4 linked regions of the Macaca fascicularis genome follow. The protein of the gene in region 2 interacts with the protein of the main gene of each other region in a biochemical or structural test. Links are inferred from orthologs where the notes say so. Each region holds a gene or a part of one and is shown on either strand. Other genes may lie near its edges.

Evidence for each region. The genes of interacting proteins can lie anywhere in the genome.
Region 1: the proteins of PLCG1 (region 2) and PDGFRA form a complex in vitro, tested with the Homo sapiens proteins (2 studies listed by BioGRID, with this or other methods). The link is inferred for Macaca fascicularis from reciprocal best matches to the Homo sapiens genes PLCG1 and PDGFRA.
Region 3: the proteins of PLCG1 (region 2) and EEF1A1 form a complex in vitro, tested with the Homo sapiens proteins (2 studies listed by BioGRID, with this or other methods). The link is inferred for Macaca fascicularis from reciprocal best matches to the Homo sapiens genes PLCG1 and EEF1A1.
Region 4: the proteins of PLCG1 (region 2) and LAT form a complex in vitro, tested with the Homo sapiens proteins (2 studies listed by BioGRID and IntAct, with this or other methods). The link is inferred for Macaca fascicularis from reciprocal best matches to the Homo sapiens genes PLCG1 and LAT.

What each region holds. Positions count from the first base shown.
Region 1 is NC_088379.1:79,632,825-79,636,703, reverse strand, and holds part of PDGFRA (platelet-derived growth factor receptor alpha), read left to right. Parts: intron 1-1,845; coding exon 1,846-2,106; intron 2,107-3,122; coding exon 3,123-3,253; intron 3,254-3,879. UniProt on the Homo sapiens protein: Tyrosine-protein kinase that acts as a cell-surface receptor for PDGFA, PDGFB and PDGFC and plays an essential role in the regulation of embryonic development, cell proliferation, survival and chemotaxis.
Region 2 is NC_088384.1:97,271,037-97,274,915, forward strand, and holds part of PLCG1 (1-phosphatidylinositol 4,5-bisphosphate phosphodiesterase gamma-1), read left to right. Parts: intron 1-33; coding exon 34-154; intron 155-872; coding exon 873-1,041; intron 1,042-1,185; coding exon 1,186-1,308; intron 1,309-1,390; coding exon 1,391-1,492; intron 1,493-1,578; coding exon 1,579-1,766; intron 1,767-2,102; coding exon 2,103-2,303; intron 2,304-2,379; coding exon 2,380-2,499; intron 2,500-2,582; coding exon 2,583-2,763; intron 2,764-3,795; coding exon 3,796-3,873; intron 3,874-3,879. UniProt on the Homo sapiens protein: Mediates the production of the second messenger molecules diacylglycerol (DAG) and inositol 1,4,5-trisphosphate (IP3). Plays an important role in the regulation of intracellular signaling cascades.
Region 3 is NC_088378.1:101,525,165-101,529,412, forward strand, and holds the end of EEF1A1 (elongation factor 1-alpha 1), read left to right. Parts: intron 1-166; exon of another isoform or gene 167-201; intron 202-1,147; 5' UTR 1,148-1,177; coding exon 1,178-1,321; intron 1,322-1,675; coding exon 1,676-1,855; intron 1,856-1,976; coding exon 1,977-2,273; intron 2,274-2,356; coding exon 2,357-2,507; intron 2,508-2,594; coding exon 2,595-2,851; intron 2,852-2,948; coding exon 2,949-3,183; intron 3,184-3,277; coding exon 3,278-3,402; 3' UTR 3,403-3,697; downstream 3,698-4,248. UniProt on the Homo sapiens protein: Translation elongation factor that catalyzes the GTP-dependent binding of aminoacyl-tRNA (aa-tRNA) to the A-site of ribosomes during the elongation phase of protein synthesis.
Region 4 is NC_088394.1:27,476,431-27,480,291, reverse strand, and holds the end of LAT (linker for activation of T-cells family member 1), read left to right. Parts: intron 1-2,015; coding exon 2,016-2,078; intron 2,079-2,262; coding exon 2,263-2,328; intron 2,329-2,421; coding exon 2,422-2,501; 3' UTR 2,502-2,509; intron 2,510-2,676; 3' UTR 2,677-3,310; downstream 3,311-3,861. UniProt on the Homo sapiens protein: Required for TCR (T-cell antigen receptor)- and pre-TCR-mediated signaling, both in mature T-cells and during their development.

The sequences.
Region 1 (3,879 bases), on a different chromosome or scaffold from region 2:
GTATTTTCTTTTTCCTTTTAAAAAGTTATATATATATATATATATATATTTTGAAACAGGGTCTCACTCTGTTGCCCAGGCTGGAATGCAGTGGCATGATCATGGCTTACTGCAACCTCAACTCCCCTGGTTCAAGCGATCCTCCCACTTCAGCCTCCCAAGTAGCTGGGATTACAGGCATGCACCACCACGCCTGGCTAATTTTTATATTTAAAAAATTTTTGTGTGTGTGTATTTTCATTTGAGACAGGGGTTTCACCATATTGACCAGGCTGGTCTTGAACTCCTGACCTTAAGTAATCTATCTGCTTCGGCCTCCCAAAATGCTGGGATTACAGGCGTGAGCCACTATGCCGAAATTTTTGTATTTTTTTTGTAGAGATAGGGTTTCACTGTGTGGCCCAGGCTGGTCTCGAACTCCTGGGCTCAAGTGAGCCCCACCCACCTCAGCCTTCCAAAGTTCTGGGGTTACGGGCGTGAGCCACTGGGCCCGGCCTACTCCTACATTTTAATTAAAAGGACAAAGGATTGAACACAAGTGGTGGCAATTTCAGTATGCAGTTGGGTAAATTAAAAAGGACTGTGGCTAGAATCCTTGGTTTTAGAACAAAACAGAAACCGCTTAGGATTCTTGCCATCCTTGCCGTTTTGGCATAGGTCGAGGAAGGGGGTTCTCACAGAAGTGTGTCTTCCTACCTTTCTGCCTTTTCTTTTTCAGTTTTTAATGGGCTCCTCTTCCTACCCTCTGTAACTATGGGTGTCCCCAGGGACCTAGACCCTCTTTACTTCTTTCATGATACTCTTATTCATATGAGCCTTCCTTCTTAACAATTAAGGAAAAAATAAACAACTTTGTTTTGAAAAGGTAAGACATTTAGAATGTCACCCCAACTTCATTCACACTTAGATTCCTTCAGGAAAATCCTCTAGGTGTGGAGGGATTTTCCCCTGCTGTGAAGAGAATGGTAGGATCGTGAATATGTTAAAGGCACACAAGTCCCTGGTTTTAATCCGTGTAAGATTGTCCAAAAATTCTTCTTGTTCCCTATCTTTTTCCAGCACAGACGCCATCCAAGTAGCCCCTGCATCGCTGTCTGACAGAGATCTTTTGATTTCACAATAATGGAGATTTAGGGGCCTTTTCTGCAGCTGATGTTTGAGACTCTTAGAACTTCTTACCACCGTAGCTTAAGTAGCTGTTTTTCTTTTGGAAAGGAAATTCTCAGGCTCCTTCTCCTTCTCCTTCTTTAAATTTTATGTATTTCTCAAAGGATTACTTTTTAACAAACACATTTCTGTGCTACTTTTCAATCGTACTGACTACAGGTGATAAGAGTTTTTTGAAAGTATTTCATAATAAAACTAGAAATATTTTTTCCTGTTTTGAACAGAGTTGGACTCTATTAAATATTTTATTGTTCATTTTTGTTTTTAGTTGTTTAAATTTTGATTTAGATTCCTGGTTAGTATTTATTTATTTATTTGTAGAGACAGGGTCTCTCTATGTTGCCCAGCCTGGTCTCAAACTCCTGAACACAAGCAACCCTCCCACCTTGGCTTCCCAAAGTGCTGGGATTAAAGGCATGAGCCACAACTCTTATCCATTATTAATATTTATCATCAGTATTATCCATCAGGAGACAAGCAATTTGACATTATTCACACTTAAAAATCACTTTGTAGCTGTCATGATAACTAATGCCAGTGGGGCAATTCTTCTGGATATATGTGTAAAGGTGAACTTCATACCTAATATCAATACTGCCAGTGGGATAGTGTTTCTGGATTTATGTGTAAAGGTGAAATTAATGTCTAATGGAGTCTTCATTCTTTTTTAAACCACAGACCCAGATGTAGCCTTTGTACCTCTAGGAATGACGGATTATTTAGTCATCGTGGAGGACGATGATTCTGCCATCATACCTTGTCGCACAACTGATCCTGAGACTCCTGTAACTTTACACAACAGTGAGGGGGTGGTACCTGCCTCCTACAACAGCAGACAGGGCTTTAATGGGACCTTCACTGTAGGGCCCTATATCTGTGAGGCCACCGTCAAAGGAAAGAAGTTCCAGACCATCCCATTTAACGTTTATGCTTTAAAAGGTACTCATATCATCTCCTTCCTTCTTTAAATAAGAGTAACAGGCATAATCATCAGGTGCATGTATGATTTTTTTTTAAAATCATCACCACTGGTGATCCTAAATTCTGATTTGGGGATTTAGGACCCCAGCTAATACAGTGTCAAGGTGACCTCTATGGCTATAATAATAAGCTTAAAATTACTAAAGGCTAAAGCTTGATTACTCATGCAAGATTTCATGTTTCATCAGTTGACTTCAAAATACTGTAAGGAATTCTTTTCTTATATAAGCCTCTTACTTTCATTCACATTCCTGACTACGGAGGCCCTAAAACAAGCATACACCTCGGGGGTTAGATTCCTAGATTAATTTAGTAACTTAAGGAAAATGATTTCAATTCTGAAGAAAGTAGTTGTAGACTTCAACCCTTTGATGTCCACAGTTAGTACGCTTGGGGAAGTATAATACATGCTGAGGTCAACAGATATTTCCTGACCACTATTCTATGTGGAGGAATGGGTAGCAGCAAGAGTACACTGTTTGAAAATCAGAGCACAGCTAATTTTGTGCCAGGCACTGTGCTGGGTTCTGGGAAAGTACTGAGAATAACTGAGGAGCAGAGTGGAAGAGAAGAAGAGAAGAAAAAATTGGATAGAAACAAAGTGTCTAGAGCAGTGTGGATCATCAAAGGTTGGTTGATTAAATGAATAAGTATGTCAGTCAAGGTGATGGTAGACGAGTATAACCATAACTAACGCACTGCTGAGGAATGCAGTGATTGGAATTTATTTTTATTGTTATTATTTTATAATTCTGTATTATAACTATACACCTAATTGTTGTACACCATCTCAAAATCAAGCCTTGTGAGATTTTCTAAATTTTATCTTGATCAGGGCTTTTATTCATAATTGGTTCACAAATTATTTTTCAGGGTTTTCTTAAAAAAACAAAAAACAACACCACCACCCAAACTTTATAAGATCCTTACTATCCTATGGATTTTTAGGCCCTTGTATTTGTTCTTTTTTATAGCAACATCAGAGCTGGATCTAGAAATGGAAGCTCTTAAAACCGTGTATAAGTCAGGGGAAACGATTGTGGTCACCTGTGCTGTTTTTAACAATGAGGTGGTTGACCTTCAGTGGACTTACCCTGGAGAAGTGGTAGGTACCCTCAAAATGTGCAATGGCTTGGAGCAGAGCAGCAGGGCTCAGAAGACCTGCATTTGTGCTGGGTCTGTCACTGATGGGCACATCACTGAGTTTCTCTAGACCTTAGCTTCCCACCTCTATGATGAACACATTTGATTAAAAAGCCTTTAGGGCTCCTTGATCAATGGGCGAGTTTGAAACGACAGTTGCTGGACCAGGGCCTTCAGAATACATAAAGAGTGTGCACTAAGCCTTCTTTCTCAGAAGTCAGACAGAAATAGGAAGGTTCTCTGGCTACAAAATATCAACCAAAAAATTAGAAGAGCAAAAAAACCGCTGGATTTTACTATTGCGGAGAGTCATTAATTGTCATTGTCTTGGCTTCTGTGCTTCTGACGGTTGATTCATTTGATAGTGTTTATTGCCTGCACTCCTTCCTGTTCTGCCTTGTTGACACTGAGGACAGTGTGTCTTCCTGTTCCACCTCCTATGTGCCTGACCTTTGCATGGCTCACGTTCAGTGAACAGTCACTATGTAATCATTCAACAAAGGTTTAATGATGTTTTACTCAATCTCAAGCACCGTACCAGAAGCTGGTCCAATATTGCCGGATGAAGGGAGGAGGGGAGATGGAAGT
Region 2 (3,879 bases):
TGCCTGCTTGACCATGATGATGTTGCTCCCCAGTGGACTGCTGGGACGGCCCAGATGGGATGCCAGTTATTTACCATGGGCACACCCTTACCACCAAGATCAAGTTCTCAGATGTCCTGCAAACCATCAAGGAGCATGCCTTTGTGGCCTCAGAGTGAGTCAGAGGCTGGAGGACCCAGGGGTTAACTTGGCTCCAGCTCTCTCATTCTAGAGGGACAGAGGGCAGCAAGACTCCTCGAATACCCTGTCCCCTCTCCCTCAGCCTTTCATCTTTGTCCTTCCTCTTGGCCTCTCCTCGTCACCTGCTTCCTGTTTGAGCTGTTGCTTCCCAAGTTACACTTTCTGTTTCCTACATGTTGAGCCCACTTTCTTTTTCATGGGTCCTTTAGACTGTACAACACATGCTCTTCTCATCTTCAGGAAACATGCCCTGCTTTCTTTAGGCCAGTGTCCTGCCAACTCCTTTGCCCTCACAGCCCAGGAGATTGTCTGTCTTCCCTATGTCCCATTCCTTCAATTCTGTTTACTGCTTAAACTGTGGTCACTGGTCTCCCTTAGCTCACCAGGGCTCTAACAGCTAACTTTGGAGGCTTCTCCTCTCTCCTGGCCTCTTTGGTGGCCTCATTTTTCTTGCACTGCTGAGCAGCCTCCATAATTGGGCCAGCTCGGGCTGCATCAGTGGCCACCCTTTGATTTCCACTGCTGCCACAGCTGTAGAACCCCCGCTGCCCCGCCAGTGGCTATGGCCTGGGATAGTTTTTATAGACAAGAAATCCCCAGGCCCTTGGCTCCCAACACCTCACTGTGAGGGGCTACTTAGACCCCAGAGAATTGCAGAATCTGTTTCACTGTGCTTGTCCCCCACCCTGCAGGTACCCAGTCATCCTGTCCATTGAGGACCACTGCAGCATTGCCCAGCAGAGGAACATGGCCCAGCACTTCAAGAAGGTGCTAGGGGACACACTCCTCACCAAGCCCGTGGAGATCTCCGCCGATGGGCTCCCCTCACCCAACCAGCTTAAGAGGAAGATCCTCATCAAGGTGGGGGTGGTGGGCTTACTGGGGAAGCCCCACACTTCTCAGTGCCTCGCCCAGGCCATGGCTTCAGCTATTGGGCCTACGCCTGGGTGAGGAGGTGGGGTGATGACTGGAGTCTGCATTGCCTTGCTCTGGTTGCCCCTCCAGCACAAGAAGCTGGCTGAGGGCAGTGCCTACGAGGAGGTGCCTACATCCATGATGTACTCTGAGAACGACATCAGCAACTCCATCAAGAATGGCATCCTCTACCTGGAGGACCCTGTGAACCATGTGAGGACTGGGCCGGGCTGGGGGTGGTGGGCCAGTGGGTGTGAGGACCCTGGCTCACAAGTCCCTCTTTGGTCCGTTCCAGGAATGGTATCCCCACTACTTCGTTCTGACCAGCAGCAAGATCTACTACTCTGAGGAGACCAGCAGTGACCAGGGCAACGAGGATGAGGAGGAGCCCAAGGAGGTGAGGAACCAGCTCAGGTCTGGGGCTGGGCCAGGTCGGGCCTGGGCCAGGGTCCCAGTGTCTTTGCTGTTGCCTTCCCCTGACAGGTCAGCAGCAGCACAGAGCTGCACTCCAATGAGAAGTGGTTCCATGGGAAGCTAGGGGCAGGGCGTGACGGGCGGCACATCGCTGAGCGCCTGCTCACTGAGTACTGCATCGAGACCGGGGCCCCTGACGGCTCCTTCCTCGTGCGAGAGAGTGAGACCTTCGTGGGCGACTACACGCTCTCTTTCTGGTAACACTTCCCATGCAGATGCACATATTCAGTCAGCGTGTGTACACAGACATGACACCACCCAGAGATAATCAGTTAACATTTGAGCCTTTGATCCAGAACAATAATTATGCTTTACATGGAACATAAATTTCTCTCTCTCTCTCTCACCCCCCCCCCCCGCCATACCCCTCCCTTTTTGGTTCATTTGAAGCCTTTCAGTGCAACTGCCCACACCTGAGCTCCTCAGGAGATTGGCCTCCCTCCTTGAGGCTCGGTGCCTCATTTGAGGTGGAACTTGGTCTTTGGGGCCCTGGCCTATTTCTCCCAGCCTCCCTCACGTTGTGTCTTCCACAGGCGGAACGGGAAAGTCCAGCACTGCCGTATCCACTCACGGCAAGATGCTGGGACCCCCAAGTTCTTCTTGACAGACAACCTCGTCTTTGACTCCCTCTATGACCTCATCACACACTACCAGCAGGTGCCCCTGCGCTGCAATGAGTTTGAGATGCGACTTTCAGAGCCTGTCCCACAGACCAATGCCCATGAGAGCAAAGAGTGAGGGAGGGACCTGGGGGTGGGCAGGGCAGGGCAATGGGTGGTGCTGGCTGGGCCTGACTCTGCCTGTCCTCAGGTGGTACCACGCGAGCCTGACCAGAGCACAGGCTGAGCACATGCTGATGCGTGTCCCTCGTGATGGGGCCTTCCTGGTGCGGAAGCGGAATGAGCCCAACTCATATGCCATCTCTTTCCGGTGAGGGGTATGGCCCTGGGTTGTGGGGCCTTGCTTGGGTCTGAGCTGCCCTGACCCTGTGTGACTGTTTTGTCCTTGTGAAGGGCTGAAGGCAAGATCAAGCATTGCCGTGTCCAGCAAGAGGGCCAGACTGTGATGCTAGGGAACTCGGAGTTCGACAGCCTTGTTGACCTCATCAGCTACTATGAGAAGCACCCGCTATACCGCAAGATGAAGCTGCGCTACCCAATCAATGAGGAGGCGCTGGAGAAGATTGGCACAGCTGTGAGGGGCTGTGGTAGACGGGGCATGGCAGGGGAGGCAGGAGAGACCCAGAATCTTAGCAGTCACTGGATAATCTGGATATGTGTAACAGCAAGGCCTGGGGTGTTGTAGGAGTTCATAGGAAGGCCCCTGAGTCCAGCTGGGAGCCAGTGTGGGTACCAGGAGGGTGTCTGGAGGAGGGGACACCTGAGCAGTGTCCACAAGGATGGGGACAGGCACATAAGCAGCGGGTTCCCCATGAGTCAAGGTGAGGAGTGAGGAGGTTCTGGGGCTCACGCTGGGAGAGGTGCACACAGTGGAAGCTCATCAACCTGGGCTTGGCCTGGACTCTGTCCTAGGGCAGGTAGGAAGAGGCTACCCAAGAGTAGCTGTGGAGCCTCCTGGTGGATGGTATGGAGGGCAGAGCCACAGGAGGTGAGACCACTGAGGGAAAAAGTCGGGACTCATGGCAGCACAGCTGGTGATAAGGGCCCTGGACAGAAGAAAGGGGTCTAGGACCAGGAGATCAGTTGAGAGACTTATGTCGTCAGCAGACAGGGCTGGCTGGGGAGAGGCCTGTTGTCCACTGGCACCAGGGGCTCAGGTGATGGAGAGGAGTGGCCGGAGGAGTGTGGGGAGTGGAAAGGCTCTTCCTGACTTTGGGCTCAGCAGCGAACCGATGAGCCACTGAACTAAAGCACTGAATATGGGTAGTCTGTGAAGGGCCCACCTGCACATAGCTCAGAAATACTTGGGAGTTTGGGCATTTCGGACCTGAGAGATTTTGGAATCCTGGACTGGGCCTCACGTATAAGAATGTGAAGAAAAGAAAGGGTGAGACCCGGCCTGAGGCCTCTGAAGCCATCTCCGCTGAGGTTGAAGGATCCCTGTGGACCAGGTGCTAGTGGTGGTGGCCGCCTTGGTGGCCTGATGAGGAAGGCCAGGTGGAAGTTTGCTGCACTGGGGGAAAGGGAAGCTGCTGCGGAAGCCAGTAGCTGCTTTCTACCTCTAGGCTCTGGGGCATTAACATATCCCATTGTGTCCTGTTTCCAGGAGCCTGACTACGGGGCCCTGTATGAGGGACGCAACCCTGGCTTCTATGTAGAGGCAAACCCTATGCCAACTTTCAAGGTACAG
Region 3 (4,248 bases), on a different chromosome or scaffold from region 2:
ACATCGCCCACAGTCCCCGAGAAGTTGGGGGGAGGGGTCGGCAATTGAACCGGTGCCTAGAGAAGGTGGCGCGGGGTAAACTGGGAAAGTGATGTCGTGTACTGGCTCCGCCCTTTTCCCGAGGGTGGGGGAGAACCGTATATAAGTGCAGTAGTCGCTGTGAACGTTCTTTTTCGCAACGGGTTTGCCGCCAGAACACAGGTAAGTACTGTGTGTGGCTCCTGCGGGCCTGGCCTCTTTACGGGCTATGGCCCTCGCGTGCCTTTTATTACTTACACGCCCCTGGCCGCTGTACGTGATTCTTGATCCCGAGCTTCGGGTTGGAAGTGGGTGGGAGAGGTCGAGGCCTTGCACTTAAGGAGTCCCTTCGCCTCGTGCTTGAGTCGAGGCCTGGCTTGGGCTCTGGGGCTGCCGCGTGCGAATCTGGTAGCACCTTCGCGCCTGCCCCGCTGCTTTCACTAAGTTTCTAGCCATTTAAAATTTTTGATGACCAGCTGCAACGCCTTTTTTCTGGCGAGATAATCTTATAAATGCGGACCAGGATCTGCACACTGATATTGGGGTTTTGGGGGCCGCGGGCTGCGACGGGGCTCGTGCGTCCCAGCGCACATGTTCGGCGAGGCGGGGCCTGCGAGCGCGGCCACCGAGAGTCGGACGGGGGGAGTCTCAAGCTGGCCGTCCTGCTCTGGTGCCGGGCCTCGCGCGGCGGTGTGTCGCCCCGCCCTGGTCGGCAAGCCTGGCCCGGTCGGCACCAGTTGCGTGAGCGGAAAGATGGCCGCTTCCCGGCCCTGCCGCAGGGAGCTCAAAATGGAGGACGCGGCGCCCGGGAGAGCGGGCGGGTGAGTCACCCACACAAAGGAAAAGGGCCTTTCCCTCCTCGGTCGCCGCTTCATGTGACCCCACGGAGTACCGGGCGCCGTCCAGGCACCTCGATTAGTTCTCCGAGCTTTTGGAGTACGTCTTCCTTAGGTTTGGGGGAGGGGTTTTGTGCGGTGGAGTTTCCCCACACTTGGTGGGTGGAGACTGAAGAGTTAGGCCAGCTTGGCGCTCGATGTAATTCTCCTTGGAATTTGCCCTTTTCGAATTTGGATCTTGGCTTATTCTCAAGCTTCAGACAGTGGTTCAAAGTTTTTTTCTCCCATTTCAGGTGTCGTGAAAACTACCCCTAAAAGCCAAAATGGGAAAGGAAAAGACTCATATCAACATTGTCGTCATTGGACACGTAGATTCGGGCAAGTCCACCACTACTGGCCATCTGATCTACAAATGCGGTGGCATCGACAAAAGAACCATTGAAAAATTTGAGAAGGAGGCTGCTGAGGTATGGGAAAGATGAACTAAAATGAGTTTTACCAGCAGAATCATTAAGTGGTAGTGATTTCCCCAGAACTAGTGAGTGGTTTAGATCTGACCCTACTTATTAAAATAGTTTGCTTTTGGTTACTTCTGTAACCGTATTGCTAGTGAGTAGTTTCGATTTGGATATTAATAGTCAAGATCCTACTTTAAAAAGTTTGCTTTTTGGTTGCTTCTGTAACCCTATCTAAGTGACTAAAATCACTTAGGACTTGCAGTTGTAAAGTGGAAACTATGTGCCAATTAAGGGCTGGGGGCAAAGAAATTGAAGCTGGAGTTTGTGTGTTAGTAACCAAGTAACAACTCTTAATCCTTACAGATGGGAAAGGGCTCCTTCAAGTATGCCTGGGTCTTGGATAAACTGAAAGCTGAGCGGGAACGTGGTATCACCATTGATATCTCCTTGTGGAAATTTGAGACCAGCAAGTATTATGTGACTATCATTGATGCCCCAGGACACAGAGACTTCATCAAAAACATGATTACAGGGACATCTCAGGTTGGTGGGATTAATAATTCTAGGTTGTTTTTTTTTTTTTTTTTCCCCTGAAATGCCTGTCTTGTGCATTGGTTTTGTCCTTTGGAGAGTTGACAGGGATATGTCTTTGCTTTCTTTAAAGGCTGACTGTGCTGTCCTGATTGTTGCTGCTGGTGTTGGTGAATTTGAAGCTGGTATCTCCAAGAATGGGCAGACCCGAGAGCATGCTCTTCTGGCTTACACACTGGGTGTGAAACAACTAATTGTTGGTGTTAACAAAATGGATTCCACTGAGCCACCCTACAGCCAGAAGAGATACGAGGAAATTGTTAAGGAAGTCAGCACTTACATTAAGAAAATTGGCTACAACCCCGACACAGTAGCATTTGTGCCAATTTCTGGTTGGAATGGTGACAACATGCTGGAGCCAAGTGCTAACGTAAGTGGCTTTCAAGACCGTTGTTAAAAAGCTCTGGGAATGGCGATTTCATGCTTACACAAATTGGCATGGTTGTGTTTCAGATGCCTTGGTTCAAGGGATGGAAGGTCACCCGTAAGGATGGCAATGCCAGTGGAACCACGCTGCTTGAGGCTCTGGACTGCATCCTACCACCAACTCGTCCAACTGACAAGCCCTTGCGCCTGCCTCTCCAGGATGTCTACAAAATTGGTGGTAAGTTGGGTGTCAACAAAGTTGAATTTGAGTTGGTAGAGTACTATCTTCCTTCATAGGTATTTAGTATGCTGTAAATATTTTTAGGTATTGGTACTGTTCCTGTTGGCCGAGTGGAGACTGGTGTTCTCAAACCCGGTATGGTGGTCACCTTTGCTCCAGTCAACGTTACAACTGAAGTAAAATCTGTCGAAATGCACCATGAAGCTTTGAGTGAAGCTCTTCCTGGGGACAATGTGGGCTTCAATGTCAAGAATGTGTCTGTCAAGGATGTTCGTCGTGGCAACGTTGCTGGTGACAGCAAAAACGACCCACCAATGGAAGCAGCTGGCTTCACTGCTCAGGTAACAATTTTTAAAGTAACATGTTCCTACCTTATTGCAGAGGCTAAAGTCATTTGAGACTTTGGATTTACACTGAACGCAAATCTTTTTTTCCAAGGTGATTATCCTGAACCATCCAGGCCAAATAAGTGCTGGCTATGCCCCTGTGTTGGACTGCCACACAGCTCACATTGCATGCAAGTTTGCTGAGCTGAAGGAAAAGATTGATCGCCGTTCTGGTAAAAAACTGGAAGATGGCCCTAAATTCTTGAAGTCTGGTGATGCTGCCATTGTTGATATGGTTCCTGGCAAGCCTATGTGTGTTGAGAGCTTCTCAGACTATCCACCTTTGGGTAAGGATGATTACTTAAACGTAAATAAGTTGTGTTAAAGATGAAAAATACAACTGTGAACAGTTTTGGTAATACTACATTTTTTTTTTAATAGGTCGCTTTGCTGTTCGTGATATGAGGCAGACAGTTGCGGTGGGTGTCATCAAAGCAGTGGACAAGAAGGCTGCTGGAGCTGGCAAGGTCACCAAGTCTGCCCAGAAAGCTCAGAAGGCTAAATGAATATTATCCCTAATACCTGCCACCCCACTCTTAATCAGTGGTGGAAGAACGGTCTCAGAACTGTTTGTTTCAATTGGCCATTTAAGTTTAGTAGTAAAAGACTGGTTAATGATAACAATGCATCGTAAAACCTTCAGAAGGAAAGGAGAATGTTTTGTGGACCACTTTGGTTTTCTTTTTTGCGTGTGGCAGTTTTAAGTTATTAGTTTTTAAAATCAGTACTTTTTAATGGAAACAACTTGACCAAAAATTTGTCACAGAATTTTGAGACCCATTAAAAAAGTTTAATGAGAAACCTGTGTGTTCCTTTGGTCAACACTGAAACTTTCAAGTTTTACCTCGCTTAGGAGAAAGACATGTAATTCTGGTTTTATGAATTTGTGGAAACTTTATGAAAATGTAGTTCTCAAGTTAACACTTCTAGGTGGAGATAAGGTTGTTTTCCTCCCACGTACTTGGAAGGGGAAGGAATCTAAGCTATGGGAGGGCTGCTTTGATTTCCACATTGGAGAGAAATGCAGCATGTTACTGATGGCCTGTCACTAAGGAAGGCCAAATGCTGTAATAGAGTCCTTGTGTTGCATAGAAAGCTTAATGTAGTTAAACCAATGTTAAGTGAATCTTTGGAAACATGAAATAGTTTCCAAATTACAGGGATGTGCGTTTTAAAACAGGTTAAAATGACTGGGCAGTGGAAGTTGACTATTTCCCCTGACATAAGAAGTAAGTAGTTGCTAGTGCACACCCTATGTGAGTGGAGGGATCCATTTTAAAGTCAGTGGAGTTAGCTTTATGCCAGTTGGTTTCACAAGTTTTACTGAGTGCTATTCAGAATAGGAACAAGGT
Region 4 (3,861 bases), on a different chromosome or scaffold from region 2:
AGACAGACTGTCCTGATAAAATAGCTGGCTGGGGCCGGGCGCGGTGGCTCAAGCCTGTAATCCCAGCACTTTGGGAGGCCGAGACGGGTGGATCACAACGTCAGGAGATCGAGACCATCCTGCCTAACACGGTGAAACCCCGTCTCTACTAAAAAATACAAAAAACTAGCCGGGCGAGGTGGCGGGCGCCTGTAGTCCCAGCTACTCGGGAAGCTGAGGCAGGAGAATGGCTTGAACCCGGGAGGCAGAGCTTGCAGTGAGCTGAGATCCGGCCACTGCACTCCAGCCTGGGCGACAGAGCAAGACTCCGTCTCAAAAAAAAAAAAAAAAAAAAAATAGCTGGCTGGGCATGGTGGCTTACTCCTGTAATCCCAGCACTTTGGGAGGCCGAGGCGGGAGGATTGCTTGAGTCCAGGAGTTCAAGACCAGCCTGAGCAACATGGTTAAACCTCATCTTTACAAAACATAAAAAAAAAATTAACCAAGCGTGGTGGCACATGCCTGTAGTCCCAGCTGCTCAGGAGACTGAGATGGGCAGATCACCTGAGCCCGGGAAGCGGAAGTTGCAGTGAGCCGAGATCATGCCACTGTGCTCCAGCCTGGGTAACAGAGTGTTTTAAAAAAAAAAAAAAAAAAAAATAGCTAAGATTCACCGAGGGCCTCCTGCATGCCTTGCTGAGTCTGACATATGTTCACTCACTAACCTCACCGCCCTGGAGCTCCCGGGCCTGCCCTCGCCCTCCTGTGCTCCAATTGTCCCCCTTTGTGTGATGCAGGGTTTATCTGTTTAACAGCACTGTTATGTCACAGGTCCTATTTTACAGAGGAGAAAACTAGGGCACAGAGAGGTTATGTGGTTGGTTAGTACTGGAGCTGGGATTGAACCGGGGCGGTCTTCAAAAACAAACATGAAACACATAAGAGAACCAAATAGGCTGGGCATGGTGGCTCACGCCTGTAATCCCAGCACTTTGGGAGGTGGGTGGATCACCTGAGGTCAGGAGTTCAAGACCGACCTGGCCAACATGGTGAAACCCCGTCTCTACTAAAAATACCAAAATTAGCAGGGCGTGGTGGCGGGCGCCTGTAATCCCAGCTACTCAGGAGGCTGAGGCAAGAGAATTGCTTGAACCGGGAGGCAGAGGTTGCAGTGAGCCAAGATCACACCACTGCCCTCCAGCCCTCTGGGCAACAGAGGGAGACTCCATCTCAAAAACAAATAAATAAATAAAATAAAAGAACCAAATAACCAGGCATGGTAGCTGATACCTGTGATCCCAGGACTTTGGGAGGCTGAGGCGGGTGGGTCACTTGAACCCAGGAGTTCAAGACCAGCCTGGGCAGCATAAGGAGACCCTGTGTCTACAAAAAATCCAAAATTTAGCCTGGCCTGGTAGGAGCTGAGGTGGGAAGATCATCTGAGTCTGGGAGGTCAAGGCTGTGGTGAGCCGAGATTGCGCCACTGCATTCCAGCCTGGGCAACAGAGCGAGACCGTGTCTCAAGAAAAACAAAAACAAACAAAACCCCCAAATAACATGGATGGTGACAGGCGCCATGAGGGGCTGATATGGGAGTGGGACACAGGCAGTGGCTGGCAGGGGGCGGGCGGGGATGGGGGTAAGGGAGGAAGAGGTTCCTGCTGGGCCAAGTGTGTCATGTCCCCTCCACACATGCCACCAAACTCCTACTGCTCCGAGCCATACTCCGTCCCTGTTCCCCAGCCTAGGGGCTGTGCTGGGGCCTGACCCTTCGTGAACCCTCCTCAGTCCCGGTCAAGTGGACCTCCTCCCCCGCTCTCCACAGCCCTCGCCTTGTCTAGGCCACCATCACCATCACCAACACCATCCTTGCCAGCCTGGAGTGCCCGCTCTCCATTCTGTGGGGCTAATGGGGGTGGCTGTGTGGGGAGCCTCTGGGGTCTACTGTTGGGGGTGACTGAGGTTGGGGGTTCTCTGGGAACCTGTGGCCAAGGGTCTCTGGTCACAGTGCTGAGGTGGGGCTGGCTTTCCCACAGTGGAGTCCATTGATGATTACGTGAACGTTCCGGAGAGCGGGGAGAGCGCAGAAGCGTCTCTAGGTGAGTGACCGGTGCTCCTCGGTGCCTGCCCCTGCACCCCGCCACCCCACCATGCTCTCAATGTGACCAGACCCCACCCTGGGACTGCCCACACCCTCTGCCCCCTCTGTCTGGGCCTCCCCCTGCTCTCTTGCCCTCCTGACCCCTTTGCATGGCTGCCCCTCCTTCTGATCTGTCTCCACAGATGGCAGCCGGGAGTATGTGAATGTGTCCCAGGAGCTGCATCCTGGAGCGGCTAAGACTGAGCCTGGTGTGTGCTGCGGGAGGCGCAGGAGCTGGGGTAGCTGCCTTGGGCTTGGGGGGATAGCTTGCAAGCTGGAGACCAACCTCCCCTCCCCTACAGCCGCCCTGAGTTCCCAGAAGGCGGAGGAAGTGGAGGAAGAGGGGGCTCCAGATTACGAGAATCTGCAGGAGCTGAACTGAGGGCCTGGGTGAGAGGCCTGCCCTGTCCCCACCCTGTCCTGGGCCCGCAGCCTCTATTCCCTCCCTCCAGGACCCCTGCCCAACCCTACCTCCGGCTTGTCCCTCTGTCTCTGGGTACCTGCAGATCCCCATCAGCCTCCTGATCCATATCCCTCCCTGCCCTGGTGTGTTTCAGTGGAGGCCGAGTCTGTCCTGGAACCAAGCTTGTCTGGGACGGCTGGAGCTGGACAGCTGGAAGTGGCTCTGGGTTCTCACATGGCGTCCTGCCCTTGCTCCAGCCTGACAACAGCCTGAGAAATCCCCCCGTAACTTATTACCACTTTGCGGTTCGGCCTGTGTCCCCCGAACACTCTGCACCTTCTGACGCAGCCTGACAACAATGACCTGCCCTGGCCCCAGCCCTGCTCTGTGTAATAGAATAAAGGCCTGCGTGTGTCTGTGTTGAGCGTGCATCTGTGTGTGCCCGTGTGTGAGTCTGAATCAGAGATTTGGAGATGTCTGTGTGTGTGTCTGTGTCTGTGTGTGTGTGTCTGTGGGTCTCCATCCTTCATGGGGGCTCAGCCAGGTGCTGTGAGTGACAGCAGACAGTGGCTGGGACACCCCCCTTCTGAATGAGGCCTTCTGACTTGGGCTGGCACTGCTGAGGCTCAGGACACATCGCCCCATGAGACAGTCCCAGGACGCGGCAGCTGCTGGCTGTGACAAGGGTTTCGCCATCCGTAGGCCAAGGGATGGGACCTGATGACCTGGGAGGACTCTCTTAGTTCTTACCTTTTGTGGTTCTCAATAAAACAGAACTTAAAAAATCATCTAAGCAACTGAAAAAGTTAATATGCAGCACAGCACTTTTGAGACTTTGATGGGTAGGTGACTCACCAGCAGACTTTACTGTGGGGTGGGTTCTGACTCAGTTCGCCTAGGACGTGGCCTGCGACTTTGCATTTCTGAGCCGCTCCTGTGTGATTCTGATGCTGCTGGTCTGTGAACCTCATCTTGTGGAGCAAGGGCATGGTGAGCATCTATTGCCTTTACTTGACCGGGATCCATTTCCCTATTTTGGGAATTTCACCCTGGCTTTCCTCCGCGATTCACTCCTTTCCCAGTCTCATTTCATGTAGTTTTAGAGATTGTGTGTGTGTGTTTTTTTTTTTTTTTTTGAAATGGGGTCTCCCTCTGTCACCCAGGCTGGAGTGCAGTGGCACGATCTTGGCTCACTGCAACCTCTACCTCCTGGGTTCAAGCAATTCTCTCGCCTCAGCCTCCTGAGTAGCTGGGATTACAGACCCCCACTACCACACCCGGCTAATTTTTGTATTTTTAGTAGAGATGGGTTTCAGCATGTTGGCTGGGCTGGTCTCAA